Kluyveromyces lactis: one gene and its partners. The protein of the gene in region 1 binds, or shares a complex with, the protein of each later gene. Links are inferred from orthologs where the notes say so. Each region holds a gene or a part of one and is shown in the gene's direction. Other genes may lie near its edges.

The links.
Region 2: PRP6 (region 1) and PRP31 share a complex: the UniProt entries of both Saccharomyces cerevisiae proteins name them as parts of the U4/U6-U5 tri-snRNP complex. The link is inferred for Kluyveromyces lactis from reciprocal best matches to the Saccharomyces cerevisiae genes PRP6 and PRP31.
Region 3: PRP6 (region 1) and SMB1 share a complex: the UniProt entries of both Saccharomyces cerevisiae proteins name them as parts of the U4/U6-U5 tri-snRNP complex. The link is inferred for Kluyveromyces lactis from reciprocal best matches to the Saccharomyces cerevisiae genes PRP6 and SMB1.
Region 4: PRP6 (region 1) and SNU23 share a complex: the UniProt entries of both Saccharomyces cerevisiae proteins name them as parts of the U4/U6-U5 tri-snRNP complex. The link is inferred for Kluyveromyces lactis from reciprocal best matches to the Saccharomyces cerevisiae genes PRP6 and SNU23.
Region 5: PRP6 (region 1) and SMX2 share a complex: the UniProt entries of both Saccharomyces cerevisiae proteins name them as parts of the U4/U6-U5 tri-snRNP complex. The link is inferred for Kluyveromyces lactis from reciprocal best matches to the Saccharomyces cerevisiae genes PRP6 and SMX2.
Region 6: PRP6 (region 1) and SNU13 share a complex: the UniProt entries of both Saccharomyces cerevisiae proteins name them as parts of the U4/U6-U5 tri-snRNP complex. The link is inferred for Kluyveromyces lactis from reciprocal best matches to the Saccharomyces cerevisiae genes PRP6 and SNU13.
Region 7: PRP6 (region 1) and SNU114 share a complex: the UniProt entries of both Saccharomyces cerevisiae proteins name them as parts of the U4/U6-U5 tri-snRNP complex. The link is inferred for Kluyveromyces lactis from reciprocal best matches to the Saccharomyces cerevisiae genes PRP6 and SNU114.

Annotation. Positions count from the first base shown.
Region 1 is NC_006042.1:395,920-401,121, forward strand, and holds PRP6 (U4/U6-U5 snRNP complex subunit PRP6), read left to right. Parts: upstream 1-1,691; coding exon 1,692-4,349; downstream 4,350-5,202. Other genes in the region: PHO89 (Pho89p), read left to right, coding at 1-1,350; LYS14 (Lys14p), read left to right, coding at 4,754-5,202. UniProt on the Saccharomyces cerevisiae protein: Participates in pre-mRNA splicing. Part of the U4/U5/U6 tri-snRNP complex, one of the building blocks of the spliceosome.
Region 2 is NC_006040.1:1,252,320-1,256,807, forward strand, and holds PRP31 (U4/U6-U5 snRNP complex subunit PRP31), read left to right. Parts: upstream 1-2,061; coding exon 2,062-3,465; downstream 3,466-4,488. Other genes in the region: GLD1 (Gld1p), read left to right, coding at 1-205; DNA-directed RNA polymerase core subunit RPC40, read right to left, coding at 704-1,708; KLLA0_D14905g (serine/threonine-protein kinase), read left to right, coding at 3,746-4,488. UniProt on the Saccharomyces cerevisiae protein: Promotes the association of the U4/U6.U5 tri-snRNP particle with pre-spliceosomes to form the mature spliceosomal complex.
Region 3 is NC_006038.1:47,352-50,882, reverse strand, and holds SMB1 (mRNA splicing protein SMB1), read left to right. Parts: upstream 1-1,784; coding exon 1,785-2,360; downstream 2,361-3,531. Other genes in the region: Rab family GTPase YPT31, read left to right, coding at 1-490; CHZ1 (Chz1p), read right to left, coding at 830-1,348. UniProt on the Saccharomyces cerevisiae protein: Plays a role in pre-mRNA splicing as a core component of the spliceosomal U1, U2, U4 and U5 small nuclear ribonucleoproteins (snRNPs), the building blocks of the spliceosome.
Region 4 is NC_006041.1:138,739-142,325, forward strand, and holds SNU23 (U4/U6-U5 snRNP complex subunit SNU23), read left to right. Parts: upstream 1-1,766; coding exon 1,767-2,327; downstream 2,328-3,587. Other genes in the region: proteasome regulatory particle lid subunit RPN6, read left to right, coding at 1-736; TPP1 (polynucleotide 3'-phosphatase), read right to left, coding at 830-1,537; AIM36 (Aim36p), read right to left, coding at 2,518-3,171. UniProt on the Saccharomyces cerevisiae protein: Participates in pre-mRNA splicing. Part of the U4/U5/U6 tri-snRNP complex, one of the building blocks of the spliceosome.
Region 5 is NC_006040.1:658,149-661,545, forward strand, and holds SMX2 (mRNA splicing protein SMX2), read left to right. Parts: upstream 1-1,988; coding exon 1,989-2,012; intron 2,013-2,090; coding exon 2,091-2,288; downstream 2,289-3,397. Other genes in the region: MDJ1 (Mdj1p), read left to right, coding at 31-1,446; GNA1 (glucosamine 6-phosphate N-acetyltransferase), read right to left, coding at 2,413-2,979; EMA19 (Ema19p), read right to left, coding at 2,995-3,397. UniProt on the Saccharomyces cerevisiae protein: Plays a role in pre-mRNA splicing as a core component of the spliceosomal U1, U2, U4 and U5 small nuclear ribonucleoproteins (snRNPs), the building blocks of the spliceosome.
Region 6 is NC_006041.1:2,008,670-2,011,885, forward strand, and holds SNU13 (RNA binding protein SNU13), read left to right. Parts: upstream 1-1,492; coding exon 1,493-1,873; downstream 1,874-3,216. Other genes in the region: GEF1 (Gef1p), read right to left, coding at 1-888; putative E3 ubiquitin-protein ligase HUL4, read left to right, coding at 2,331-3,216. UniProt on the Saccharomyces cerevisiae protein: Common component of the spliceosome and rRNA processing machinery. In association with the spliceosomal U4/U6.U5 tri-snRNP particle, required for splicing of pre-mRNA.
Region 7 is NC_006037.1:602,946-608,351, forward strand, and holds SNU114 (U5 snRNP GTPase SNU114), read left to right. Parts: upstream 1-2,065; coding exon 2,066-4,867; downstream 4,868-5,406. Other genes in the region: Zn(2+) transporter ZRT3, read left to right, coding at 1-3; TPO5 (Tpo5p), read right to left, coding at 224-1,906; EBP2 (Ebp2p), read left to right, coding at 5,158-5,406. UniProt on the Saccharomyces cerevisiae protein: Component of the U5 snRNP complex required for pre-mRNA splicing. Binds GTP.

The DNA of each region.
Region 1 (5,202 bases):
GTCCAATGGGGTTGGGGTGGTGTTTCTCAAATTATTGCTTCTTGGTTTATTGCTCCAATCTTAGCCGGTTGCTTGGTCACTATTATTTTCTTGATCTCCAAGTTCCTGGTCTTGGATGTTAAGCCAATTGAAAAAGCTATTAAGAACGCTTTACTACTCGTCGGATTTTTGGTGTTCGCTACCTTCTCGGTGTTGACTATGTTGATCGTTTGGAAGGGTTCTCCAAACTTGAAGTTGGATAAATTGTCTGGCACAACTACCGCATTGGCTATTGTTCTTACTGGTCTAGTCGCTTGTGCTGTTTACTTCATCTTCTTGTACCCATACTACAGAAGAAGAATCTTGCACAGAGACTGGACCCTAAAATGGTATGATATTTACAGAGGCCCAACTTTCTACTTCAAGTCCACTGACGACATTCCACCTCTACCTGCTGGACAATCTTTAACCATTGATTACTACGAAGGTAGAAGATTCGAAGATGAAACTGCCGGAGATGATGAAACCCAAATTGAAACTTCCCACACCGCCGATGGAAGAGATACTGTAGAGGGACATATTGAAATTAACGACAAGGAATCTGTCAACCAAAGTATCAAATTGGTGCAAACAGAAACTTTGCAAGAAGAAAAACCAACTACCAAACAGCTATGGTGGTCATTGCTAAAACAAGGACCAAAGAAGTGGCCTCTATTACTTTGGTTGATTGCTTCTCACGGTTGGACTCAAGATGTTATTCATTCTCAGGTCTACGATACAGGTGCTTTGTCAACAGATTTCAAGGACATGTACAAGAGATCTGCCTTCTATGACAACAGAATCGAATTCATCTATTCTATCTTGCAAGCTATTACCGCCGCCACTATGTCTTTTGCTCACGGTGCCAATGATGTTGCCAACGCCACTGCACCACTAGCTGCCGTGTATGACATCTGGCAGAAAAACACTGTGGAATCTAAGTCTGACGTTCACACATGGGTTTTAGCATACTGTGCCGCTGCATTGGTCCTCGGTTGTTGGACATACGGTTACAGAATCATCAAGAACTTGGGTAACAAGATGATTTTGCAATCTCCATCCAGAGGGTTCTCCGTTGAACTTGGTGCTGCTGTTACCACTGTTATGGCAACACAATTAAGTATTCCTGTTTCTACTACTCAAGTTGCTGTCGGTGGTATTGTGGCCGTTGGTCTTTGTAACAGGGATTTGAAATCCGTTAACTGGAGAATGGTCGCTTTCTGTTACAGTGGTTGGTTCTTAACTCTTCCAATGGCTGGTCTCATTGCAGGTATCTTGAACGGTATCATCTTGAACGCACCACGTTACGGTGGAGATTACCAATTATCATAATCATCAGATTGATATTTTCTTTCTCATGGCCTCAGCGCCTTTTAGGAACTTTCATTAATTAATTGTTTGTGCACTAGCTAGATAATAGTTTATCTGCTACAAATATAGAACATATTCGGTATTATAGATTCTGCAAATTTCCTCATATATTAGCCTGCATATTTAATTCTTTCTAAGCAGAATCGATATTTATTTCTATCAACGCTTATTCTCTATTGTTTTAAGAATCTGTAGAATATCTTTAAAAACAAAACCTTTAAAATTTGTATCGAAAGGACATCTCATACAGTAAACTATTCACTAGTAAATCATCTGAGTAAACAACTATCACGGTGATAGGCATGGAGACTCCCAGTTTCCTAAAACAATCTCCACCACCTGGTTACATCGCTGGTATAGGTCGTGGAGCGGTTGGCTTTTCCACCAGAGGAAGTAAAGATGATAAAAGAGTTCCTGCTAGATTGAATAGATATGGGCGAGATGCACCAGATACTTCTGTAACAAAGAATCCAAATAGATACAGATCAGCAGTTTCGAATGAATCATCGGAGAAACAGGTTAAAGATGAAGACGAACAAGAGATGAGAGTGTACGAAAAGATCGAACAGCGACTTAAGAATAAAAAAATTATCGACAATGAAACAAGCCTAAAGACGAAGCCAGATGATGAACCAGACAAGCTATCTTCTAAATTTGTAGATTTGAAGCGTAATTTAGCAACTCTTTCTGAGCAAGACTGGCTGGATATCCCTGACGCATCTGATATGACCAGACGAAACAAAAGGAATCGAATAGAGGAACAACTTGAAAGGAAAACATTCGCTGCTCCTGACACTTTGTTCCAGGTTAATGTCAACTTATCCAAGTTAACTGAAGAGAGGGAAAAGTTACTTGCTGTCCAGATAGATAAGAGTTTTGATTACAGCAAAAGTCAACTTACGGATGATGCTGAATACTTGAATAGAATGAACCAAGATGACAACACTATTTCATCTACGGATTTGGAAGACATTAGGAAAAACAGATCCCTATTAGCCGCGTATCGTAAATCCCATCCAAGAAATCCAGAAAACTGGATTTCTTCAGCAAGAATCGAAGAAAGAGCCAATCAGTTCAATCGAGCCAAAAGTTTGCTAGCGGAAGGTTGTAAACTGTGCCCTAAAAGTGAAGCTATCTGGTTAGAATCGATACGCATGAACGCATCCGATAAAGAATATTGCAAGAGGTTGGTTACAGTTGCCTTAAGGCTCAACGAGTTTAGTGAGCAGTTGTGGTTGAAGGCAATCGCCCTCGAACAACACAATACTGATAAAATTAAAGTCACTCGAAAGGCTCTAATTAAACTACCACTAAGCTCTATATTATGGGAAGTGGCGGTAAATCTTGAAACTTCCACTCTTGAAAAGCTGAAAATTTTGAAGAAAGCAGTTGAATTAGTGCCGAAGGATTCGCAGTTATGGTTGAAGTTGATAAGGTTACAATCAGTCGAATCTGCAGTGGACACCTTGAAATCTGCTGAAGAACATATTAAAAAAGACATCACATACTGGCTTCTCAAATGTCAACTCGAAGAAAAAAGAACGACCGCAAATCTCGATACGTTGGTAAATATCATTTCTAGCGCAATAAAGGATCTTCATGAACTGGAAGTTAATCCAACTATTACTGAGTGGTTCGAAAATGCAGTCGCTATATCAACAGAAGGATTGTATCCATTAACAGCGAAAGCAATCATCACAGCTACCATCAATAACTTATTTGAAGACGCATCCTCAAATTTCCAAAGTCTCTCGAAGCTGTTGGTAAACGACACCACACTTCAGTGTACCTTGTTTTCCTCCTTCCTAATCAAATATCCAACAAAGTACTCTATTTGGAAGGAGTTCACCAATTTCGCCGAAGACTTTTCGCGGAAATTAGAGCTACACGAAACATTCAGGAAGATCCTCTTTACAGATTCTCAAGCGGTAAAGAAATACCCTGTCTTGGTTTTAATGTATGCGAAAGACGTTTGGGATTGGGGTTCTGGTTCCACTGAAGCGTTGTCGATTTTAGATAAAGCTCTGGTGACAAATTCGGCGTATCCTGAGTTTTGGTTGGCTAAACTCAAAATTTTGAACAGAGATGGCAAATTGGATGAGATTATAAATTCCTTTGAAGAAGCCGAATCACACTTGGTAGAATGCATTGATAAATTAGTTCCTTTTTACGTTAAGTGTTTGCAATCTAAAGGCAGTTTGGAAATAGCTCATTCTACTGTTGATATAGCTTTGGCACGTGAACCAAACGACAAACATTTACTAATCTTGAAAGCACAGCTATACAGGCAACAAAGGGACCTTTCATCAGCGAAGCGTGTGCTACAGAGGGCTACGGATATTTCTAATCATGATCCAGAAGTGTGCTTGGAGTTCTCCAGACTGGTAATGGAAACACAAGATTGGGGCAAAGCGCGTTCAATACTCAGCGTTTCTCTACTAAAGAATCCAAAATCCGATACACTCTACGAGGCTCTCATTACATTGGAACTGCAAGTGAAAGATAACAAACAAGTAACGTACCTCATCGCTCAGGGTCTCAAAGCGTGTCCACACAGCTGGAGGCTCTGGTGTCTAAACATCAGAACCCTTCCTAAAAAATCACTACGTAAAACCACATTCCAAGATGCTCTCGAAGCTACAAAAGAGCATCCAATGGTGATAACTGAGATCGGAAAAGTGTTCCAAAAGGAACACCAATACGCGAAGGCATATAAATGGTTCATAAGAGCCTCGGAAAATAATCTTCAATTTGGGGACCCATGGGTATGGCTCTACATCTGCGAGTCGTGCATGAATCCAGTTGATTTGCAAATAAATGAAGAAAAAACGTTAAAGAAATTGAAAGAAAATGAACCCAGGTACGGTATACTATGGGAGCCCGCAGTAAACTCATACCTACACATATCAAACTCTCCGATTGATATTTTGCACAGCATTATCAACAATTTACACCAATAATTAGATAGAATGTAAGATTGTAAGATTGTAATAATAAAAATTGGGACAACACTGATGCGACTGTAAATTGACTTTCCGCATTGTCAGAAGTTCCGTTCCTCAATCGTAACTAACCCAGTATATGCGGCAGTTCTGTGTATTTTTCCGTTGTGATCTGATTCTCTGCTATGAAAGAGTCAGCTCTTATATCTATCAAAGAGAACTTTTTCCAGTGGAATTTGAAAATTTGAAAACGAACAACCAAAATGGAACTTCGAAATTGCGAAGAGTATTGGTAGTCGACAGGGATCGGAGGTGAAGTGAAAAACATCGATAGCAGCTGTTGAGAGTCTTAAATACCCGCCGAGGTCCACGTCATTTTTACCAGGGAAGTTATATATATATACTGATAGGTCAGAAAAAGTATGTCGTTCGGCAAGGGACGCAATGAGAGTTTGGATTGTCTCACTCCAGCATCGTATGTGTCTCAAGGTGCGGCACCTGAGGCACCAGCACCGACCCAAAGTGTCAGGGCAAGCCAGCCGCCACTATTCCCAGCTAGTAGCAGACATATTCTGTCTCCTTCGACGTTACTAGCGCATCCAAGTCCGCATTCAGTGCCCAGTACTGCTACTCTGCTTGGACTTTCCTCTGAACACGTAATCACTAGTCCTCAGTCGGTTCAGTTGAAAAATACACCTACTTCTATCGGACCAAGTCCAAGAGATGTGCTAGTTACCAATCTATCGCCGATCTCTGATATTTTACAAGGTGATCGTTCATCTATGTCACCTGCATCTGGAATCTCTTCCGTAGATGCATCGGGTGCAACACCCTCGACAGATGCAGATGGGAAAATCGTCAAGCGTAAGTA
Region 2 (4,488 bases), on another chromosome or scaffold:
ATTACTGCTCAACTTCTTTGTCATTTTCGCAGGAATCATATGGCCAATAGACTTCGAGAAGAATTTGGAGCACTTCAAAATGCCTGGGATATCACATCTAGAAAACTACCCATCGCCGTTTAACCATGGAACAGGCATAATAGAGGGGGAATTGAGAAGGCACTGGGTTCACCCAGTATATTGGAGAACGAGTGCCCTCGAGTAATTTTAAGGGTAACGCATCGTACCTTTTCTACCAACTGCTAATTCTATTCTTTCAAGTAGGGCTATTCCTCGTAACTGTACTATCCATCTCACCATTCAAAGATCACGAAGTCGCGGACGAAACCTATACACAGAAAGCCCAGAGTGATCTGAGTGACGGATATAATGGTAACGTCTTGATACTCGAAGTGGATCCAAAAGCCATGATCGAAAATCTTATAACCAAAGCACGGCCAATGGCGCAGGATCAGGAGACGTTTGAACCGACAAATGTAGATGCGATGGTGTAACACAGTTGAATCTAAAAACAAATGTACATTAAACTAGTTTAGATGTAGTGGCTTCTTTATATATGAATATATATAAGTGCCTAATCTGTTCACTGAGTGGCTTAATGCGTATGATACAGGGAATGAAAGAAATGGAATTATGATGCACGGTTTGTCTGTGTATGGAAGGGAGTGGATGATATTAAATAGAGAACATGCGAATTGGCTTCTTATTGTGAGATTGGACAGTTCTTCAAGTATTCCGCCTTGTTCTTCAAGATCCTGACCGATTTGAAGAAGATTTCTTCCGGTGTCATAGCACCAGAACTCTCCACGTTAAAGATGAAGTGGTCTCTCACCCTACCCAACTTAACCTTCCCCTGGAACTCATCGTGTCTCAACACCTCTCTGGACACGGTATCCTTCCTTGGATCCTTGATATAAGCTTCACCCTTCTCGTTGACATCTGCGACACCTTTAGGGAAACATTTCACAAATTTCTTGGCATCATCACCGGTGATAGGCTGTGTGATCTGGATGTGTGGTAATAGTCTATAACTAGCTGTCGACACCGGAGAGAACTTGGCATGGTCTGCACCGATACCTAGAATACAATGTGCCCTTAACGAAATCTCTTGACCTGGTCTCAACTTGGCCAACAAGATATCTGGATCCGCTGCCACCACGGGACACTTGGCAAATTGTTCCACCTGTTTCCCCTGAGGCTCAAACTTAAGGTCCCTAGCATAGATATGCGCGTTTCTATAAAGAACCTTGGGGTCTTCACAATCCTTTGGAGCATCTGGGTTCCTGGTACATTTCACGTTCAACGACATCACTATCGTATTTTCATCTGTAAACCTTTCAGATTCGGGCAATGACGTGTCCACCCAACTCAACATATCTGGATCCACCTTCAATGGCACTAACCCGATTCTATGCGCCAACACTTCGTCCTGTAGCACAGACGTATTGTTAAAAAAGTAGACGTATTCTGGAGCGACAGATGGTACTTCTGAGATCATAATACGACGGAAAGCGTTAGCAATCGATGTGTCGACATGAACCAAATCGAAATTCACTTCACGCTCATCCAAACTCTCGATTTGTACGTCAAAAGTTTCCTTGAACTTCTCCAAGTCCCATGAATTGTCTTGATCCGAACTAAATCCAGGGAAATCTGTTGAACTTGTGTTCGTCACACGGTTATATTCAACACCAACGATATTGGACATCCTTTTTCAATTGTATTGCTACGTTTATGCTACCTCTTGAGCTCTCAAACGACCTCAGAAAAGCCCTATGACACTGGTCAAGGTCCGTCTCATCGGTGTAGATACCTCATCTCAAGCTCATCTCATCGCTTTAAAGAACTGAAAAATTTTTGGAAAAGAAAAGATCACATCGTATAGAGTGATTATATATGATTAAAGATTGGTAGAAATGCGATGAGATAGCTACTCGAGAGCAGGTACTAGTCGATTACTGCTCTTTTGACCATCCTCAGTTAGTTCAGTATGTGGTATTTTACAGTTGGATTGTAACTGGATAACCATATTCCCCTGTCTTACTCTTTCACAAGGTGATAATGGACCTTTTAGATGACGAAGATTATGGAAGTGTCAGCGATGAGGAAAGCTTGGATGATGGGTTAAGTGGTGTAACCAGTGGTATAACCAGTGGTATAGCCACAGAATCGGATATTTTACCCTCTCCTAGTGTTAGCAACCTAATATCTGACTTTCACGCGCAATTCTGGCACCAAGGCGCGGATTTAGATGACCTCATCCAACTTGCCAAGCACGAAACTATAATACGAGATGCAACAAACCATACGACAGAGCCTTACAATGTCATAAAACTGGGCCAATTGATGCCTTTATTCGATACAGAGCTTTCCATGGTGTTTCAATGCATTGTAGATACCTACAAGGCCAAGTTCCCTGGGTTGGAAACTATTGTCCCTGAAAGGAAACAATACGTCGACGTGGTCAAGATGCTGCAACAGGATATTCCCAACGTGCAATTAGACCAAGTGCTATCGAAGGAGGAAACCCTTGTGGTATCTATGTCTCTAAAGACAGATTTCAAAGAGGGTGCTCGAATTGATAAGGATCTCCTCTCCAAGGCCATCCATTGGTTCGATATTCTGTACAACTTACGGGACAACGTCTCACACTATGTTGAGACAAGAATACAAATGGTAGCTCCAAACTTATGTGCTTTATTGGGACCTGATACTGCAGCTAAACTGGTAACACATTGTGGTAGTGTTAAAGAACTAAGTGTGGTTCCCAGTTGTAATTTGGCATCCATTGGCCAGGACAAAACGTTGCATGGCAAATCGTTAGATATCTCTGGGGTACGACAAAAGGGATATCTATTCTATACAGACGTGGTACAAACACAGCCTCCTGAGTTCCAGAAACAGGCGCTTAGAATGGTCTCTGCCAAGGTTGCTCTTGCTGCGAGAGCGGATTGCACCATGGGGAATCAAGTCATTAACCCAGATGGGAATTCAGATGGGAACTCAGATGCCTCGAAGCTGGGCTTGAAATGGAGGCATGAAATCGTTGAAAAACTCAAGAAGATAATAGATCCGCCGAATATCAGTAACATCAAGCCGTTGCCGATCCCAGAAGACGCTCCAAAGAAGAAAAGAGCTGGTAGAAGGTTCCGTAAGTACAAAGAACAGTTCAAGATGTCGCATCTAAGGCAAATGCAAAACAGAATGGAGTTCGGTAAAGAGGAACAGACCACCATGGACCCATACGGAGAAGAAATAGGGTTCGGGATGGCCGATTCAAAGAACGTTTCCGCATTGTCCTCTTTCAATAAGACCAAAATGCGTAAATCTATGCGTTTAAGATTAGATCAAGAGACTAAAAACACGCACAGTTTCCTACAGGATGAGAGGTCCGAAAAGCTCAAACGTAGTGCAGAGCACCCACAAGCTACGGACCCCGCCACCAGCAAACAACCACGGTTGTGAGACACCATAGTTCTGCCGTGTACCTTTTATACCCTGTATATGTCTATTCATAGATCTGTAATTACGATTCCTATTATGGCAAAACCAAAACACAAAAAGATGATCCAATGTTCGAATTGAAAACTTTAAACAAAGAACACAACTTAACCATTGAACTTTAGGGTCTCTTATTCGATCAGATCTGCCGATAATTCATTGTGTCAAGTCAGAAGTAACGTGTCTGACCTGAAGCACTAACGGTTTTATTTACATACTTCAATCACACAGTTTAAAATAAGAAATGTTTACAAGAGATGCGAATGGTCGTCACAAGGAGGTCGACGCATTGGTCGACGATATGGTCAATTTCAGTTTTGATACGGATGCTAAAGTTATGCTAGATCCCCCAAGCACTCCAACGAGAATACGTGGTTCTCCGTCTCCTACTAGATCGATAGTAAAAAACCCTGAAAACTCGCTCATGGATATCGACGATGATACTCAGGGAGATTTGACGGCAGACATTACCAAGTCGCCAAAGAAACTACCCAAAGATTTCTATAAGAAGTCCTCAAAGACTAAATCCAAGAGATTGGTTTCCGTGTGTCAGATGTATTTCTTGGATTATTATTGTGATATGTTCGACTATGTGATTAGCAGAAGAGAACGTACCAGACAAGTGATCAACTATTTGGAAGAGCAAAGAAGGTCGAACCTGATGGGTACTGAGCAAATTACCAACGAATGGCAGGGTTATCTGACGAAAGAGACGAATATTCTAAGGAAAAGACGTTTGAAACCGAAACATAAGGATTTCGAAATGATTACACAAGTTGGACAGGGTGGGTATGGACAAGTTTACCTTGCTAGAAAGAAGGATACCAAGGAGATCTGTGCGCTAAAGATCTTGAACAAGAAACTTTTGATGAAACTGGAAGGTACAGACCATGTTTTGACTGAAAGAGACATTTTAACTACGACAAGATCGGAGTGGTTAGTGAAATTGTTGTATGCTTTCCAAGACCCTCAAAGTTTATACCTTGC
Region 3 (3,531 bases), on another chromosome or scaffold:
GGAAGGTAAAAAGATAAAGGCCCAAATTTGGGATACTGCTGGCCAAGAACGTTACCGCGCAATCACCACAGCATACTACAGGGCGGCAGTTGGCGCTTTAATAGTTTATGATATCACTAAATCAAGTTCCTACGAAAATTGTAACCACTGGTTGGCTGAATTGAAACAAAATGCCGATGAAAATGTCGCTGTTGGACTCATTGGTAATAAATCTGATTTGGATCATAAACGTGCGGTTCCAACAGATGAGGCTAGGAATTATGCTCAAGAAAATCAACTTCTTTTCACGGAAACTAGTGCATTGAATGCTGACAATGTTGACGAAGCGTTCAGAGCATTGATTACTGCTATCTACCAAATGATTTCCAAAAATCAACTAGACTTGAATGACGCCTCAGGAAACAATGCCAACGCTCCAAAGGGACCTACGATCTCTTTGACACCGGCACCAAACGAAAAACACAAAAAGAGTACAAACAACTGCTGTTAGGAATTCTAAACGTGTATTATGGTCATTCCTTATAGGGTGTTTATATAGAAAGTATAAGCCCCGGAAAGAAAAAGGGAAGCAGAATTATCATCGACTGGGACATTTATCCCGATTAAGTTAGACACTTGTTTTATGTATATAACATTGACTGCCATAATTATGCAAATACTAGCTGTTTGGAAGGACATCCTGAAACTTCTTAACTGCAAAATACCTTCTCAGTTCATTGCGTCGTATCCATTGTTCTTTTAAATGAAACACTACCATAATGTCAAACATGGAGATTTAGTGAAACTACAAACTTTTATATGCGCTTGAGTAAATTTTTAATTCAAATTTCTATTTGGGTTCAGTCGGACTAGCAGGGGCAGGGGCAGGAGCAGCTGGATCCTTGAACTCTTCGTCATTTTCTTCATCGTCTTCATCATCATCATCATCCTTGCCAACCTCACCATTTTTTTCCAATTTCTCGGCAGTCTTTTTATAATCAATAATCTTACCACGAGTTCTCCTACCAGTAGTTATAATATTGGAACTATCGATTTCTGAAAGGTCGTCTTCTTCTTCATCTTCTTTTACCATCATTTGATCTAATTTTTCGTCATCGACTTCACTTTCACTATCTTCTTCCTTGTTAGCACCAGAAGTAGCAGATGCCTTGTCTTCTTGAGCAATTTTTTCATCCAAATCATCATAGTTTCTTCTTCTTCTCTTCTTTTTAGATTTCTTATCGTTGGCATCAGCGGTAGAAGCAAGCTCACTTTCAGCACTTCTTTTAGCTTGTGAAGCAACGTTGGAAGAGTCAGGCTCTTCTGCACCTATTTGAAATTCTTGCTTATCCTTAATTTCTTCAGCCATATTTGCAAACTTTGTATCTGTTGATATGATTAGTGTGCTGATGTTCGAGGAGTACGACCTAGGCTCACGCAATGCTTTTTTTGATCTAAAGATGCTTACCAGTATTTGTTTCCTTTTCGCATCTTGCGAACCAAATATAATTCATATTATCTCAAATCCCAAAGAAACATAATTTTCCACGTGATCATTTTTTTTCATAGCCGCATAGTGGATGAATTCTAACTATCATGTTGTATCGAAAATTAAAACATTAACTAGTTTCACGATCAATGAGTAACTTGCGTTGGTCCTATAAAGAATCACTGCTACGGACCGCTTTTTTGTGCATGATATAAGGATACCTCTTACAATCGAGTTTACAGTCTTTTTCACTTTCTTTGTTCACCAAGAAGAATAGTTATATCTCTAAGCATATCATACAAAAGATACAAGGACGATGTCGCAAGTTGAAGTTAAAAAGAAGGAAACGAAGCTATCAGATTTGATAGATTATAGAATACGAGTCGCTACCCATGACGGAAGGGTTTATATTGGCCAACTTATGGCTTTTGATGCATATATGAACCTTGTAATGGGAGATTGTGTAGAGGAACGCATGCCTCATAAACAAATCATAGAAGTACTTAAAAGTGGAGGAAACTTGTCAAGCAATGTGCAAGTCGAAAGAAGGACTTTTGGACTAATAATTTTACGGGGTGAGCATGTGTTGAGTACCTCGGTTGAGTCACCTCCCCAACTCTCTAAGAAGGAACGAATCGAAGTCCAGAAGAAGAATGCAAAAAAATTAGATAATGCGAAAAAGGCTCGTCAAGGGAAGACTTCTAACAAGATGAACGTTGGAACGAATGGATCTAATATAACTTCAACTAACTCAGAAAGTTCAAATAGAGTTACGAAGCCAAGTCATAAACCTATCAATACGAATTCTGGAGCTCCCAGTAGGTTTAATTCTAATAGTCAGGTACGCCCCAGCCGGTTCCAAGCCCCTCCAGGCTTCAAAAAAAGAAACTAAACCAGCGAACAACTTGTCATACTTATTGATATAAAAAAAATTGTTTTGGTGCTACGATCACCGATCTTAGCTATAATTATCCGAGACATGTTGATAGATATGTCTTTAGTTACCTCTTACGTACACGCAGAGGACTTTGGATATCCCACTGTAACGACTAGAACAAGAAGATATAGAATTTATCTAGCTTTATCCAGTGTAATGATATCCCTGTACTGCGCAACGTTAAAAGCCTGTGCGAAATATGATTATCCACCTCATTCCCTTTTCAACCACCCCACCAAATGCCTATACGAAACCTCCAGATATACCCCATGACCCCACCATAGCCCTGCGGACAAAAGAAATGTTATGTGTTAAATATGGCTTCCAACTGGACAATCATGGTGCGGAATATCTCTCAGCTGAGAACGGGCAAGAATTAGAGTTTGCAAGTTTCGCAAAAACAACAAATATATCGCATGCCACGATATCATGAGTGTGTGTTTTTTTTATAGGAATCCGGAGAAATAGTCCTACTGATTGTTCAAGCATCCCGGAAAAACCACTTCGAGATTTTCCGTGTGAGGCTTCCACTAATTTCCCCCAGAAATTACCATTGATTGTTTCGGAAAAATTATTCTCCCTGGAGTAATCTACCTGAATAAAAAAAAAATCTTTGTGCAAATTCAAGCTCCGTTGCTTTCATAGAGTCTCGTCATTAATTTCTAATTGTCCAGCTGTTCAGTCTTTGTCGTAAGATGGTGGAAATCCAACCCACTTTAACTTACCAAAGCACCGTAATCATCATCATCATCATAATACACCGTGTACTTAAATATACATACATATATATATATGGGTAGTTACCACGATTTGTCATGTCTTCCCCCCACTATCTTTCTTTCGTCTCTTTCCTGAATCGTTTAGTTCCTATTAACTTAAATGTGAAACATAATCCTTTCAAAAGCCTTATCAGGAAAGAGAAGATCCATCACAGAGTGAACTACTAGCCAGTTATACGATACAATATCCACCAATAAAGTCCAAAATAACAATAAATCACAAAACATAACAAACAAATTAACATGTCAACACCAAAAGAGTGCAACGACAGACCATATTTATGTGAAATTTGTGGGAACAGATTCCATAGGTTGGAACACAAGACAAGGCATATACGAACACACAC
Region 4 (3,587 bases), on another chromosome or scaffold:
TTTGACTAAATCAAAGGCTGCTTTGACAAGTGCTAGAACATCCGCAAATTCGATTTATTGTCCAACATTGACAATGGCAGAATTGGATTTAATGAGTGGTATCTTACACTGTGAAGACAAAGATTATAAGACTGCTTTCTCATACTTTTATGAATCCTTTGAAGCCTTCCACAGCCAAACTGGCTCAAACACATTCGGAAAAGCTTGTCAAGTGCTAAAGTATATGCTTCTTTCAAAGATCATGCTTAATTTGATTGATGAAGTGAAAACTATCTTGAACGCCAAATATACTAAGGAGACCTACCAAAGTCGCGGAATTGACGCCATGAAGGCAGTCGCTGAGGCTTATAATAATAGATCCCTACTGGAGTTCAATACAGCAATGCAAAATTATAAGACAGAATTGATGGGCGATGAACTCATTAGATCACATTTCAATGCATTATACGACACCCTTTTGGAATCAAATCTTAGTAAGATCATCGAACCATTCGAATGTGTTGAAGTATCGCATATCTCAAAGATTATCGGGCTTGATGCTCAACAAGTAGAGGGCAAACTTTCACAAATGATTTTAGACAAAGTTTTCTTTGGTGTGCTTGACCAAGGAAACGGATGGCTTTATATTTATGAGACACCACAACAGGATGCCACTTATGATTCTTCGTTAGAATTGATCAATCAACTCAATGGAGTTGTAGAACAACTCTTTGAAAAAGCCGCTGTATTATACTAAAATTAAAAATTCATTATAATACGCTCATCCTTCAATCATTAAAGTAACTTAGTAAATAAATATATTTTACGTAGGTTTAAGATCATTCGAAATTCAAATAAAGTATTCCTCCGGTACCTTGAAAGGTACGCCCAATATTTTAGCAAACTCTTTGTCACTGTCACTAAAATCATTTGGTCTTCCTGCAGCATCCCCGCAGTAAAATAAAAGTTCAATTGAGTCCGATTGTTCGTCAGAATCTTTAAGAAATTCATCAAACAAACCACGATTGGGTTTTCTCACATTATCAAACATTTCAGGTGTTACCATTGTCCCGTTTATTCTTTTCTTCTGGCCAGAAATAATGTTCTTAACAACTTTATTTGCGTGAGCAGTGCTGGCGGCTTTGCTGCCACCAAAAAGGGAAGCTGGTTTTTTAGTAGCACAGTAAATCCAAATACGATCACACAGTTGAGAATCGTTTTCCGATATGTATTTCAATACTTTGCAAATTTTATCAACGTGTTTTACGCAGCTTTTAGAGGTTCTAGGTTCACTAACAACACCGCCTTGGTTGGAGAAGAAGACGATGTGAAAATCTGGTGTTTCCTTCATTTGTGCCGAAAGTTTAGCAAGTACCTCGGTTTTTCCATATTTCATGAATATCCAATCATCTGATGTCCTACTGAATCGGCCTTTAACTGGTTTGATCACGGTGTGATCAAGGTCAAATGAGATGACCTTCCTTACAGGGGCGGGATCTTTGGGAACCCATTTTATGATATGAGGGAGAATGGTAAGCTTATGAGTAGACTGTGACATGATAGCAAACTGTTACAATTAATATGACAATGGCTGACTCCTTTGAAATACTCTTGTACTTTACTAATTTGTAGTTCCATTTATGCCTTCTTTTGAGATGAAATGACTTAAAAGATCCAATATGGAAAACATCAACTAATTTAATGTTGACATGCATAATAAGTTCCATGACCTAGGAAGAGATCAGGTACTGAGTTCTGAGAAGGAGTACTATTCACTATAAATCAATATGTCATTTGGACGAAGAACATGGAATAGAGAAGAGTATGCTGCCAAGGCAGCAACTTCTCCAGGAGGGCAATCTCATCTTTCATCATTAGACCAGGAACAACTGAAAGCTTTAAAAGATAGATACACAGACTACAATGCTTTACTCGAGTATAATCTACGCGACATCAATAAAAAGACGTTATCAGCCAATCTAAGTCAGCAGAAAAAAGGTAAACAGTTCGGGTTTTACTGTGACATATGTGACTTAACCTTCAAAGACACACTACAATTCATTAACCATTTGAATCACAAATCACATGTTGTACGGTTTGAGAACATATTCAACGAGCCATTGATAAAAGATACGAGGGATAATGATCTAGTACCACTTAATGAGGTACGATCCCAGTTTCATAAATCTGTATCAGCATTTATCGGGGACACTGAATTGAGATCCAATAAACGCAAAGCGGCAAAGAGAGTCAAATGTGAGAAATCTGATGCAGAAATCAAATATCAACCACAGTCTGAAATCGGCAGGTTAATGGGTTTCACAGAATTCGGAAGTTCCAAGAAATAACATAAATATTGACGTTTTTATTCGAAGCATATCTACATCCCACTATTCACAACGTACTTCTGCTGAATGGCAATTAGATACTGATGATATTTACAAAGTTTAATCGAGATAAAGTTGGATGGATTGTTATAGGAAGTCCCCAGATATATGCAAAAGGGTGCCGATGGGGAAAATGGCATGAGGGGTCATTTTAGATGGTCTCAACTTTATCCACGGTTTTAAAGTATTTGGAAACCTGGCCGTCTCCTTCTGAATTTGGTACAATAACTTTGTCGATAACGGAAACCTCATTTTCGAACTTGATCGCATCTTTTATATTGTCTGGGAAGTCAAGTAGATAAACAGTGTCACCCTTTTGACATTTCTCCTTCATATATTTACCTATCAAGACGACAGAGAGACCTGTTGGTAGTTTTTCCATGTACGATTTCCCCTCCTTTTCATATAAATCATTTAAAAGCACATAATATTTATCGTCAGACTTATTTCTGAAGAATTCAATAGCTTCTGAAGGTTTGATAACCTTCGCATCTTCGGGGAATTTCAGTTTCTTGGTTGCAACTCCGGTTTGCACACATCTTAAATTTAAATCATCTTGCTCAAAGATCGAAACTCTTCTTCTTAGACCACTCATCACAGTGTCAAATTCAGAGAATGTGTACGTGTTTTTAGGCTTGTTCTGTTCCAAAGAGTCGACTGCCTTAACAAAAATAGCAGTCCCAACTAAACCAACAAGTAAAATGGTTTTAAAACTTGGTGGTTCTTCAGCTTTATCCATTTTTCCAGACAGCATCCGGCGCATGACCGGAGACTTCAATAATCTTGGTGCAGCGCGTACGAACATATCGGCCTTGATCTTTGTATAGTGCAGCAGATAGCTACTGATGAGATTGGCTATAGGCCTCGTAGTGAAACAAAGAAGCAATCCTAATTAAAATGTCATAACATTCCGGATCTTCTCCAGCAAGCTATATTGAAAGATCTTAAAATGTCATTGACGAAATATTTCCACAGGTTTGATAGAAAAGTGATAAGGTACAAAACAAAAGAGAAGAGGTAAGGAGATTGCCATTATAGGACCCTGGCTTGAGAAGGCGTACAGTTAGAAGATTATATGAAACTGCATCTAGCAGCTTACTTCCAACACTGCTTTCGCTTCATTCTAGGCTGATAAAGACACCGTTGGCTATTTCTTTCCAAACACTGACGGTGTGATGTACGGGTGGGATATGTAGATATTCTAAAAATTTTCTGTTCACC
Region 5 (3,397 bases), on another chromosome or scaffold:
TACAGAAAAAACTCATTTCCCCATATCCATATGTTTAAGAGATATTTATTACAATACCCACGTCAATTCCATACGGCAAGACTTCTAAGACAAGAGTTTAAGGATCCTTATAAGGTCCTTGGGATTAACAAGAACTCCAGTCAGTCCGACATTAAGAAAGCGTACTACAAGCTGGCCAAGAAGTATCATCCGGATATAAATAAGGAAGAAGACTCTCAGAAGAAGTTCCATGATTTGCAAAACGCGTATGAAATATTAAGCGATGAAGATAAGAGGAAACAGTATGATCAATTCGGTGCTGCTGCATTCAGCCAAGCTGGTGGTGCCGGTGGACCAGGCGGTGCCTATGGCGGTGCTGGTGCTGGTGGTGCACAAGGATTCGGAGGCTTTGGAGGGTTCGATTTCGGTGGATTGAACTTTGAAGATCTTTTCGGAAGTGCGTTTGGTGGTGGTGGTGGTGGTGGTGCCGGAGGCAGGAGAGCTGGTTCGCATGGAGCAGGATTTGGCGGTTCCGATTTTGTCCGTGAATATAAAGGTGAGAATGTCACTGTACCATTCCAAGTATCCTTCAAAGATGCCGTCTTCGGTGTGAAGAATGTCAAATTGAATTACCAATGCTACGATCCGTGTTCGTCATGTGATGGAAGTGGGTTGAAAGCTGGACATTCGAGAAGTGTTTGTCCTACATGTCATGGTACAGGTACTCAGGTACATGTAAGAGCAGGTTTCCAAATGGCCTCTACTTGTCAAACATGTGATGGTGAGGGTTCAACTATTAAGGACAGCGATAAATGTGGTACCTGTCATAGCCACGGTTTCAAATTGAATTCAAATAAAACTATCACCGTAGACTTACCTCACGGACTTCAGGACGGTGACACAATTAGAGTACCTAACCAAGGTAGTTACCCCGGTATGGCTATCGATCCGTCCATGAAATCTGAATTGCATTTAACCAGAGGCGATTTGTTGATTCGTGTCAGAGTCAGGAAAGACACAAGATTCCAAGTTTCAAATAATTACGACATCATTTACACTCAGGAAATCCCAATTACAACGGCAGCACTAGGTGGCGTCATTGAAGTACCCACCGTAGAGGAAGAAAAGATCAGATTGAAGGTCAGCTCTGGTACTCAACACGATCAAGTCATCAGAATTCCAAATAAGGGTGTCCCTCGTGGAGCTAGAGGTGACAGGGGTGACATGCTTGTCAAGTTCAAGATTGTTATCAAAAAACCAAAGGATGAAACAGAACGTTATCTATGGGAGACCTTGGCCCACTTGACCAATGATACCACTGCAAGAAGGACCATTACTCCCTCTGGATCGTCGGCTAAGGACAACTCTTCCTCTGCTGATAAAGACACAGTTGAAAACAATGAAGGAACCATCAAGAAATTGGAAAATTTCTTGTCTAACACTTTAAAGAAGATCAGAGGGGAATGAAATCCTTAAATCGCATATATGCTCTCCCGTCATACATTCCACCTTCATTCTTTCATAATTCTTTGATTGGATGAACTAATTACGACATTGGCATTCTCATTATTCATGTACCACTTACAGCAGTCATAGCCAGTAATTGCATATACTGCACATTATTTTATAAAACCCTTTAACATCATGTAAATACCAATTTCCCTATATATATATATAATTGCACTTAGCGCATAATACTTATCGTTTTGATATTCTCTTACTAGTTATCCCTACTTACCATATTTAGCTCGGGATTGAAATTCATGCCAATGACAACGAATGTTTTCAGTAAGGGTCGATATGCTTTAGTAACTTATTCTGACCATCGTTGTCTTCTTAACATTGTGACATTGAAAATTACTTTTGAATGGAAAAAGCATAATTATGTACAAAATTCATCAATTGAAATATACTGAAGATAAATTTCGAAGGACTTTTGCCAAGAGTTAAGAGACTATATCTACGACTTATCACTTCCGTACGACCCATTATAAACCATCCAATATTCCATGACATCTCCAGATTTGAGAAAAGTATGTTTACCCCTGTTTTCCAGGAAAAATCTTATCAGAATTTAAATTACTAACTATAATATGATTCGTTGCAAACAGTACATGGACAAGAAACTCATTCTACAGCTTAACGGCAATAGGAAAATTATTGGAATATTACGAGGATATGATGCATTTTTGAACTTAGTACTGGATAATCCAATACAGATTTTCGAAGAAGGAGAGGTCCAAATGGGACCCCAGACTGTTGTTAGAGGTAACTCCATTGTATCGATAGAACCTCTTGACAGTTTGTAAGAGCAGAAGGGAGACAAATACAACTCAATGTGTCGGAACACTTTACTTAGTGACATTTACGTACAATGAATTATGCTAGTAGAAAGGAAGGATAGATATGATAGAGCGCACACTGGTTACAACATCATTTGTCGAATCTGATTTGCATTTCGACACCAGCTTTTTTCAATCCACATTTCTCATAGAATCCAACATTACTTTCATCACAATCAAGAATAACTTTATAGCATCCATACTCGTTAGCTAATTTGTATAAATACTGAATTAATATCAATCCCAATTTCTTCCCCTGTTGATCTTTTCTCACTGCAATGTCTTCAATATGACCAACAAGCCCACATTCGTGAATAACTTTTTTCTCGACTAGCACGTTTCCTGTGGCGACAACTTCCCCATTTGTGTCAACGATCACAGTGCTATTGTACATAGGTATATCTCCTATCGTGACTGAATCCCAATGGTCTATTAGTGAATGGAATTGATCTTGGCTCACATCACCAACCATCGTTAGCACTTTCAGCACAGATGTAACCCCAGAAAAATCATCTTTCTTGGTTCTTCTAATTGTGTATCCTTCTGGTAATGACATGGTAAGAATTCCAATTAACGGCAGGATGATGGTAGAAATGAATGGTAATATCAATTGTTGATGTAACAAAGAGACTATAAAGGTTCTTTTATCATGGTTCATATTTAATCATTGTGCCTATACAAAGAATAATGCTGGAATTAGAACATAAGGAACGTAGACCATCGTTAGCGCCAGTTTGTCCGGGTTACTCAATGACACGTGATCGGTATTCATCGTGGCTGGATAGTACCCATAGGCCCAAACGTACCATATACAAAAACTAGTGGTGGTGATGACATTGAATGCATAGCATTTAGATAGACGGTCCACTGTGAATAAAGTTCTTTTGATAGTTTTTGACTTTGACAAGTTTAGCAGCTGGTATAAGCAATATATGGCCACAGGCAGTTGGAATAAAATTTCAATGATTGTCATATATTTGAGCCAGTTTGGAGGATTGGCAGTTAGAAAATCATTGAAATTATCAATATAACCATCTAGAAGTCCCTTAGTATATTGAAGATATGGAGGAAGTACT
Region 6 (3,216 bases), on another chromosome or scaffold:
CTTGAAAGGAATAGAAGCTGACATCTCTTCAAGTGCAAATAAGACACCTCCAATAGGTGCACCAAAAGCTACTGCAACACCACCTGCCGTCGAAGCTGTCAAGTATTCGGATTGTTCTGGGAAGGCCATCTCCTTGCTCAAGAGCCAATTAGTAATTACATAACCACAACAGGTAGCATAGTGAACAGATGGTCCCTCTTTACCAACACTTAAATCAGAAGAAATGGCAAGCGGTAAAGCGACAGATTTTACTATAAGGGTCTTCAAATTCAAAAACTCCGGGGTATATTGGAAACCTGATACCCAGGATTTAATTTCTGAAATACCAGATCCAGTGGCAAACGGTGCAATGTGTAGGACCATCAGACAACTAATAGTTGCAAATGTGACCGATAAGAACATGAATAGCAAAAATGAAAAGATTGGATTGGTTGCTTCTACCCAAATACCTTTTTCGATACATTCGCTTTGGGATCTTTTAAAGAATATTTCTGCGGCATTGCCAGCCGAACTTATTATGGAACCATAACTCCTTTTACTGATCTCTTCTTTAGGACAGCAGAATGCCTTGTTTAACAACCAATTTCTAGCACAATGTCCAGATTTCCAGTTTACTAACAATTCAGTGAATATTTGTAAAAAACCAGCAATACCGCCAATGGAAAGCCCAATGGCAGTCAAAGTAATGAAACTGCTACCTCTTTTCCATATTAACCTGCGGTACTCATACCAACTCGAACGCGGTATATCAAATTCGTCATGCGATGTTCCCTTGGACAATTCACGCTTCTCTTCCTCAATCCAATCCACAGAAGTGAACTTATCGAAATTACCGACTTCTGGTATATTTCGCAGAGCCTGCTCCTCATTTACCTCTTGGTCAGTCATAGCTAGCTATTGCTCATCAATTGGGTCATACCTAAGTCAAGGGCAATACTATGAGTTTATTCATAAATGAGTTGATAAATTTACATATTGTAATACGTACATTTTTCAATACAAAGAAATATGCACCTTTGAAATTAGGTAAAGAACTGAGAGTGAAAGCAGCTCTTCCTGGGGAAGTATGAAGCATACGATGGGGAACAACAACTACAGACTGCGTGTTTTAGACCATAATAGAGTACTATAGCAATGGCGGAGAATGGCCAAATGATCACAATAGGAGGAATGTATATCGTTCTTCTGAATTAATATAGTGAAACAGCCGTACATTACACCAGTTTGTGATCCCATTTGTTTCTTTTTGCTCATCAGTCGAGGAATTCGAAAATTTTCAAAAATTGAAAAACTAAAGAAAATGATTTCAAGAGACTAACCTCATCTCATCTCGTTCCATCTCATCTCACTTTATGATAAAACTTTTTTTAGACTTGGACTTGATCCGATCTTATTTCTAGTCTTAAAACACCAGATTCAAGCGAGCTTTTCATTCTTGCAAGGAACTTGAACTGACCCAATCGGATACTTCACTTCATATTATAAAGAAATAATGTCTGCTCCAAACCCAAAGGCTTTCCCATTGGCTGATGCCACCTTGTCCCAACAAATCTTGGATGTTGTTCAACAAGCTTCCAACATGAGACAATTGAAGAAGGGTGCTAACGAAGCTACCAAGACTTTGAACCGTGGTATTTCCGAATTCATTATCATGGCTGCTGACTGTGAACCTATTGAAATCTTGTTGCACTTGCCATTGTTGTGTGAAGATAAGAACGTTCCATACGTCTTTGTTCCATCCAGAACTGCTTTGGGTAGAGCTTGTGGTGTTTCCAGACCAGTTATTGCTGCTTCTATTACCACTAACGATGCTTCTGCTATCAAAAGCCAAATCTATGCCGTTAAGGACAAGATTGAAACTTTGTTGATTTAAGAAGGATTTGCACATTTCGTGATTTCCTTTTCTTATTCTTTATATCAATCGTTTAAGGAGTTAACCGCTTTGTGGGGGGTTTGCATAGCAAAGAAAAGATTTACTGCACGTTCATTGATTCAAGTGATCGACAGGTAGATTTTTTTTTTACGACCTCTGTATATTAAACATATATATTACAATTAATACAACTTTTTGATACATTTGCATCCTTCTTAACAATGACATCAACATCTGATGGTTCTAGTTAGTGGTCAGTACATAGTTTTTTTTTGTCTGTTCAAATTAAGAAATGGTTACAGGCCTGTGTATTCCAGATGATATTGTCAGTTGGTAAAAAAAAGTAATAAATTTGACACAATCTTTTGTGCTTTCGACTATCCAACCCTAAATTTACAAGTTTGTTGAAATGAACTTAGAGGAAGAAGTCTGACTGTCCATCAGTAGCTGCTCGAATATGTTCAAGTTTAACCCATTACACATTGTTGGTAGGGAAAAGATAAAAATCCGCTATCAAAGTTCGGATAGGTTGGATTGTGAAGACCCGCCAAAATTTAGGGAAACTCGATGTAGATGTTGCGGAACCTTGTTACGACATCCTATAGACGCAGTTAAGTTCAAATGTACAATATGTGAGGTGACTGTTGTTTTGAGACAAACAGCAAATTCTAGGGATACTGAGGGCAAGATACTGCCGGACCTTGAACAGTTATCCAATATAGTTGGTCAATGTCTCGAATCGTATAAGAAAGATCAGACAGGAGATGAGACCCCCGCTAAAGAGCTTAACAGCTACTTCATTCCTGTGGAAAAATACATTGTTCAAAAATTCGGTACAGCGGAAGCTTTGAATCAATTATTCAAACCAACTGTTAAAGATCAAATTATAAACTACGAAAAAGCAGTGACATTTTATAATTTGATAGGCTCATTGCCTACCAAAAGACCCATTTATCTCATTTTACGTGTCTTTAATGAGGTTTTGAAAAGGCCAAAGATCCTAATGGATAAATGGGAGCACTATTTATTCATTTTTTTCATCTTGGAGGTACCTTCTTTAAGGCAATGTATTAACAACAGTACTACAATTTCTAGAACACCCAAGATTAAGACTTTAAGTTACGAAATATTAAAAAGATGTATTGGTTACTTGGGGTCAATGAATAGTAAAGTTTCGGTGAAATATAAGAATCACTTAGTTCGTTTACATCCATTGAAATTTCAAAAGCAATGGGAAATTTTAAACTTGTATTTGAGTTATCAGTTCCAGAAAATAGGACCCGGTCCGCCGCATTCACCACGAGGATTATCAGGAACGTTGTTAACTGAATCATCGCCTGTGG
Region 7 (5,406 bases), on another chromosome or scaffold:
TGAACGTTCAGTAGGTATTCGGTGTTTTTGTTACTATCTTCGCTCTCCTTTCTTTCCAATTCCCAGATTAATTATAACTCTAAGTAATTCATTCTTAATATATACAAGGAAACGGAGGATCTTACATACCTATTTTATTTTTGCATAAAGATAATTTGTATTTCTTCTTCTAGGTACCAGCCCTGCAATTCCATTAGAAAGTATTACAGTTGCATTTAATGGGTTACTCTCCCACCAATGGTGCACGGAAATTATATATGCCCCATCTATCGTAAAGGACAGTGACCATAATCATGAAAAGGAAATATACAACGCTTGAATAGTTCATACTTCTAAAAGTGACTGGAACCTTTTGCGGTAAACTGATGATAACCATAGTAAACAGTAACCATATTACGGTGAGACAGTTCGTGATGTAACCTAACCTGTATTTAATTCTGAATGCTGAACCTTTCACCAATTTTCTTCTATGGTATAACGATAATAAGATCGGTAACATTGACGCAGAGCACAAACATAGGACAGCACACCCGACAAATGCATTGAATGCGGCCGTTGATATTAAAGCTAAGAGTGCCAATACATATGAAACTCCCATAGACAACATGACGGAGTATTTAGGGACCTTAGATTCTGACGCAGGATCCACATAAGTCCAGAGGTGATGATATGGAATACCACGATCACGGCTTAAACTGTACAGTGCTCTTGAAGATGTAGTCACCGAGCCAATACCTGAAAACAATAGGTTTCCCAAGATCAATAGAACAAGGAAGATGGAAACGAATAACGATTTAGTAGATTTTGTGAAGATAAGCACGATGGGCATGACACCTTCATGATTCATTACCTCAGAGACATCAGGTAGAATGAGCATCATTGGGATCAAGAAAAATAGTCCGGAAACTAGTGAGATTATCACAGAGCGTGTCATACTGTAAGGAATATCTTTCTCTGGTTTCTCAGTTTCGTCAGATAATGCCGATAACATCGCAAACCCTTGGAAAGTGAAATTAGATTGCTGAAACCCTCCAATTAAAAATGACAAGGCCATAGAACTATACCCCGACAAACTATTATCGAATTTGGTAAAGACATCCTTGAATGATCTATGGTTTGGTTGGAATAATAGGAGAAGTGTACTTGTGAATAATATCGCATATAAGATCCAGTAAACACAGACCTTATTGATAGTTTCAATGAAACTTGAAAATTTTAGATTAATGACTCCAACCACAGTCACAATGAGATAAAACATTAGCACAGTCCATAACGTCAACCACCGGGAGTCTATCAGAGATTCATTAGTCATTGTCAGCAAAGAAATAATCAATTGTGCACCCGCAAACGTAATACTAGTGCTCATCGTCCAACTTCCAAACAACATTAGCCAACCACAGTACCAAGACATACGCAACCGAAGTCTGCCAGGCGCAAGCATGGCCGCTGCACCGTGAAGTTCTATGGGGTACTTCGAGACTATCTCACTGAGCGACAGTGAACTAATCCACGTCATTATCCCACATATCAGATACCCAAATATTATCGATGGAGATCCACCATTTAGCAATCCAATACTCATAGTAGTGCTCATACCAAGTACGGGACTCATCAACCCAAACCCTAGACCAATAACAGAAGTCCGCGAAAGTAAATTCTTGTCAAGTTGCTGTACATATGTAAACTCTTTAACCTCATCGGGAATATCCTGGTCTTCCTCGTTCAATAAAGACAACAATCGCTCGGGAATGTGTATGTTCCCGTTAAGATTAGAAAGCCAGATGTATTCAGGCATTTCAAAATGCAGTTCGGCTCTGTGTGACCCCTTGGTAAGCTCACCCTTTTTATTTCCTAGAACCCTTTCGGCATCCGTCTTGGCAAAATGTCTGTCTTTTCGAGGGCTCATCGATATTTTCAGTTCTTAGACATTATGTAAATGTTGACGAAAGTCAAAGCTTCGAGTAATGAAGATAGAATGATAAGCACATGCATTGCTCTTAGGGAAGACTACTGCGATTTGGGTGACGTGACTCAGCACTGAGTACTTTTGGAAGGAAATACAATAATGGATGAAGATTTGTACGATGAGTTCGGTAATTTCATTGGGGATCCAATGCAATTAATCGATTCTGATGATGATAGTTTGGAAGAAGTAGGAGAGCAGGAAGCTCAACATGAATTACGGCAAAAGATAGTCGAGGCTGACTCTACCGATGTGGTACTTCGAGATGTGAACCGTGATTTCGATGATGATGTTGAAGTTTTGTTGGAAGTGGAAGATAGAGAACCTGAGAAACCATTGATTGGGGACGATTCGAAATCATATAGCGAAGCTGTTAACAGGAAAGTACCTAAAGCACTATTTGACAGAGGGTACTTGAAAAGCCTTTTCTCGATACCAGAACGTCAGTTAAATGTTGGAATTTTCGGGGCGCTACATTGTGGTAAGACTTCTTTCACGGATATGTTTGCGTTAGATACTCATCGCAATCTTCCGTCCTTGACAAAAAAAGTTAAGGAGGGATGGGTACCGTTTAGGTACCTCGACCAAGCGAGGATAGAAAAGGAACGTGGTATTTCGCTTAGATTGAATGGTATGTCGTTTGCATATGAATCGTCAAGAGGACGTACGTATGCAGTGACGATGTTGGACACACCTGGACATGTAAATTTTTGGGACGATGTCGGTATTGCTTTGACTGCTTGCCAATATGGTGTAATCATCGTTGATGTGATAGAAGGAATTACTTCTGTAGTTTCCAAACTGATAAGAGAATTGATAAGTAATGGGATCCCCTTTATCATCGTTCTTAACAAAATTGATAGATTAATTTTGGATTTGAGACTTCCTCCTACAGACGCATACAGCAAACTACAATATATCGTGAACGAAATAAACACATATACCAAAGAAAGATTCTCACCGGAGCTAGGTAATGTACTCTTTGCCAGTACCAAGTTTGGATTCTTATTCTCTGTGGAGTCTTTTGTGAACTCATTTTACGCTAAATCGTTAAAGGATAAGACAGAACAATTTGCTGCTCAACTTTGGGGTCAAATTAATTACAGAGAAGGAGCATTCTACCAAACAGAATTTATTACGGACAACATTGCATTCATTCAGTTTATTTTACAACCTTTATACAAGGTTTTCACTCATACATTATCTGCATCCGAGGAAGAACTAAGAACAGTCATCGAAACCAATTTTCAAATCAGGCTTTCAGATGAGATTCTATCAAAGGATCCTCAGCCGCTACTTTTTAGCGTGTTTCATGCTATACTACCGCACTATCACTGCTTCATCGATGCTATTGTTTCAACACAGGACCACAAAATCAACAACTTATCATCCGATGAAAGCACTGTTGTACATGTATTGAGACACATGAGCCTGGAAGGTTCCAAGTGGTCCCTTTGTCGGATAATAGAGGGCTCAGTGAAAAAAGGCAACAAACTCTATATTTTCAATGAGTCCGTAGACTCTGTAGTAGATTTTGGTGATGATGAATACTCCAAGGTTACTATTGAGCGTGTAGCCTTAATGGGAGGTAGGTATGTCTACGAACTCGAGGAAGCAATAAAAGGACAGATTGTACTTTTAAAAGGTTTTGAAGATCAGTATACGAAATATGCAACTTTGTCTTCGAGCTTGATGAACCCGCTAGCACCAATTAACTATCTCAACGAATCGGTGTTCAAATTCGCCATACAGCCTCAGAAACCAAGTGAACTACCGAGACTATTGAACGGTCTTCAACAAGCAAACGAATTGTACCCTGCATTAGTGGTTAGAGTTGAAGAAAGCGGCGAAAACATCATAATTGGAACAGGAGAACTTTACCTTGATTGCGTGATGGACGAATTACGGAAAAAATTCTGTGAAATTGAGATCAAAGTAAGCCAACCGCTTGTGCAATTCACGGAAAGTTGTCAGAACGAATCGTTCGCGTCAATTCCTGTAAAGTCAAACAACGGTGTAGTATCACTCAGCGTTATGGCCGAAAAATTAGATGGAAAGATAGTACACGATTTGACGCATGGTGAAATCGACAGTTCAGAATTGAATAACATGAGAAAGTTCTCCAAACGTCTAAGAACCGAGTATGGATGGGACTCATTGGCAGCTAGAAACTGCTGGGATTTATCAAAATGTAATGTATTCATTGACGATACTCTACCTGATGAAACGGATAAGCAACTACTCAAGAAATATAAAGAAAACATTTTACAAGGGTTTGAATGGGCTGTGAAAGAAGGACCATTGGCTGATGAAACAATCCATGCATGCCAATTTAAACTCTTGCAATTCAAGGTACAAGAAGACAGCATCGAAGATATCATCCCATCTCAACTAGTGCCAATGACGAGAAAGGCATGTTACATTGCGCTAATGTCTGCTACTCCAATTATCATGGAACCCATCTATGAAGTCGATATTATCGTATCGGGGGTATTGGAGTCTGTGATTCAGAATTTATTGAAGAGACGCAGAGGTGGAAGAATTTACAAGACAGAAAAGATAGTGGCATCACCATTCATAGAAATAAAGGCTCAATTACCTGTCATCGAGTCGATTGGATTTGAGACAGATCTTCGTGTTGCGACCGCCGGTAGCGGAATGTGTCAAATGCACTTTTGGAATAAAATATGGAGAAAAGTGCCAGGTGACGTACTTGACGAAGAAGCCTTCATACCGAAGTTGAAACCAGCGCCTGCTGCAAGCCTAAGCAGGGACTTTGTGATGAAGACAAGACGTCGCAAGGGTTTATCTGAAAGTGGTCACATGACTCAAGACGGGCCATCATTAAAGAAATACATTGATCAAGATCTATTCAAGAAGTTGCAACAAAAACGATTTGTATAGGCTCCGCATAGAATTCGGTCACTGACGCATTAGTAGCTGCAAGTAACATATAGTATACTCAAACACACCCAGATAAATATATATATATATAAACCGTTAACTCTTGAATCTATATGTTAGAATGGTTATAAGTCTCGAGGCGTTTCTTTTTCTCAAAGCATCAAGGCTAAAAATTTTCCAATATAAAGAGATGAGATGAGATGAGATGGATGAGATGAGGCGCTGTAACTTGACGGGTGAGGGTTAGATCTTGTTCAATCTAAGGCATATAGGTACGCAAAACGGCAACAATGGTTAAAGGATTCAAGTTGAAGGAGCTTCTGCACCGTCGTAAGGCTATTGACCAAAGCGAACAGAAGGTAACATCCAAAAAGACCAAACAACCAAGTCCATCTAATGCTCAGGACGAGGAGCCAGTGATAGTCACCAAGGATGACTTGAGAGCTGATGAGGACGTTGAACCAGAAGTTGAATCAGAAGATGAAGAAGAGGGGGTAACCGGCGAGTACGAGAGCCACGCTTTGTCCAGAAAAGAGAAG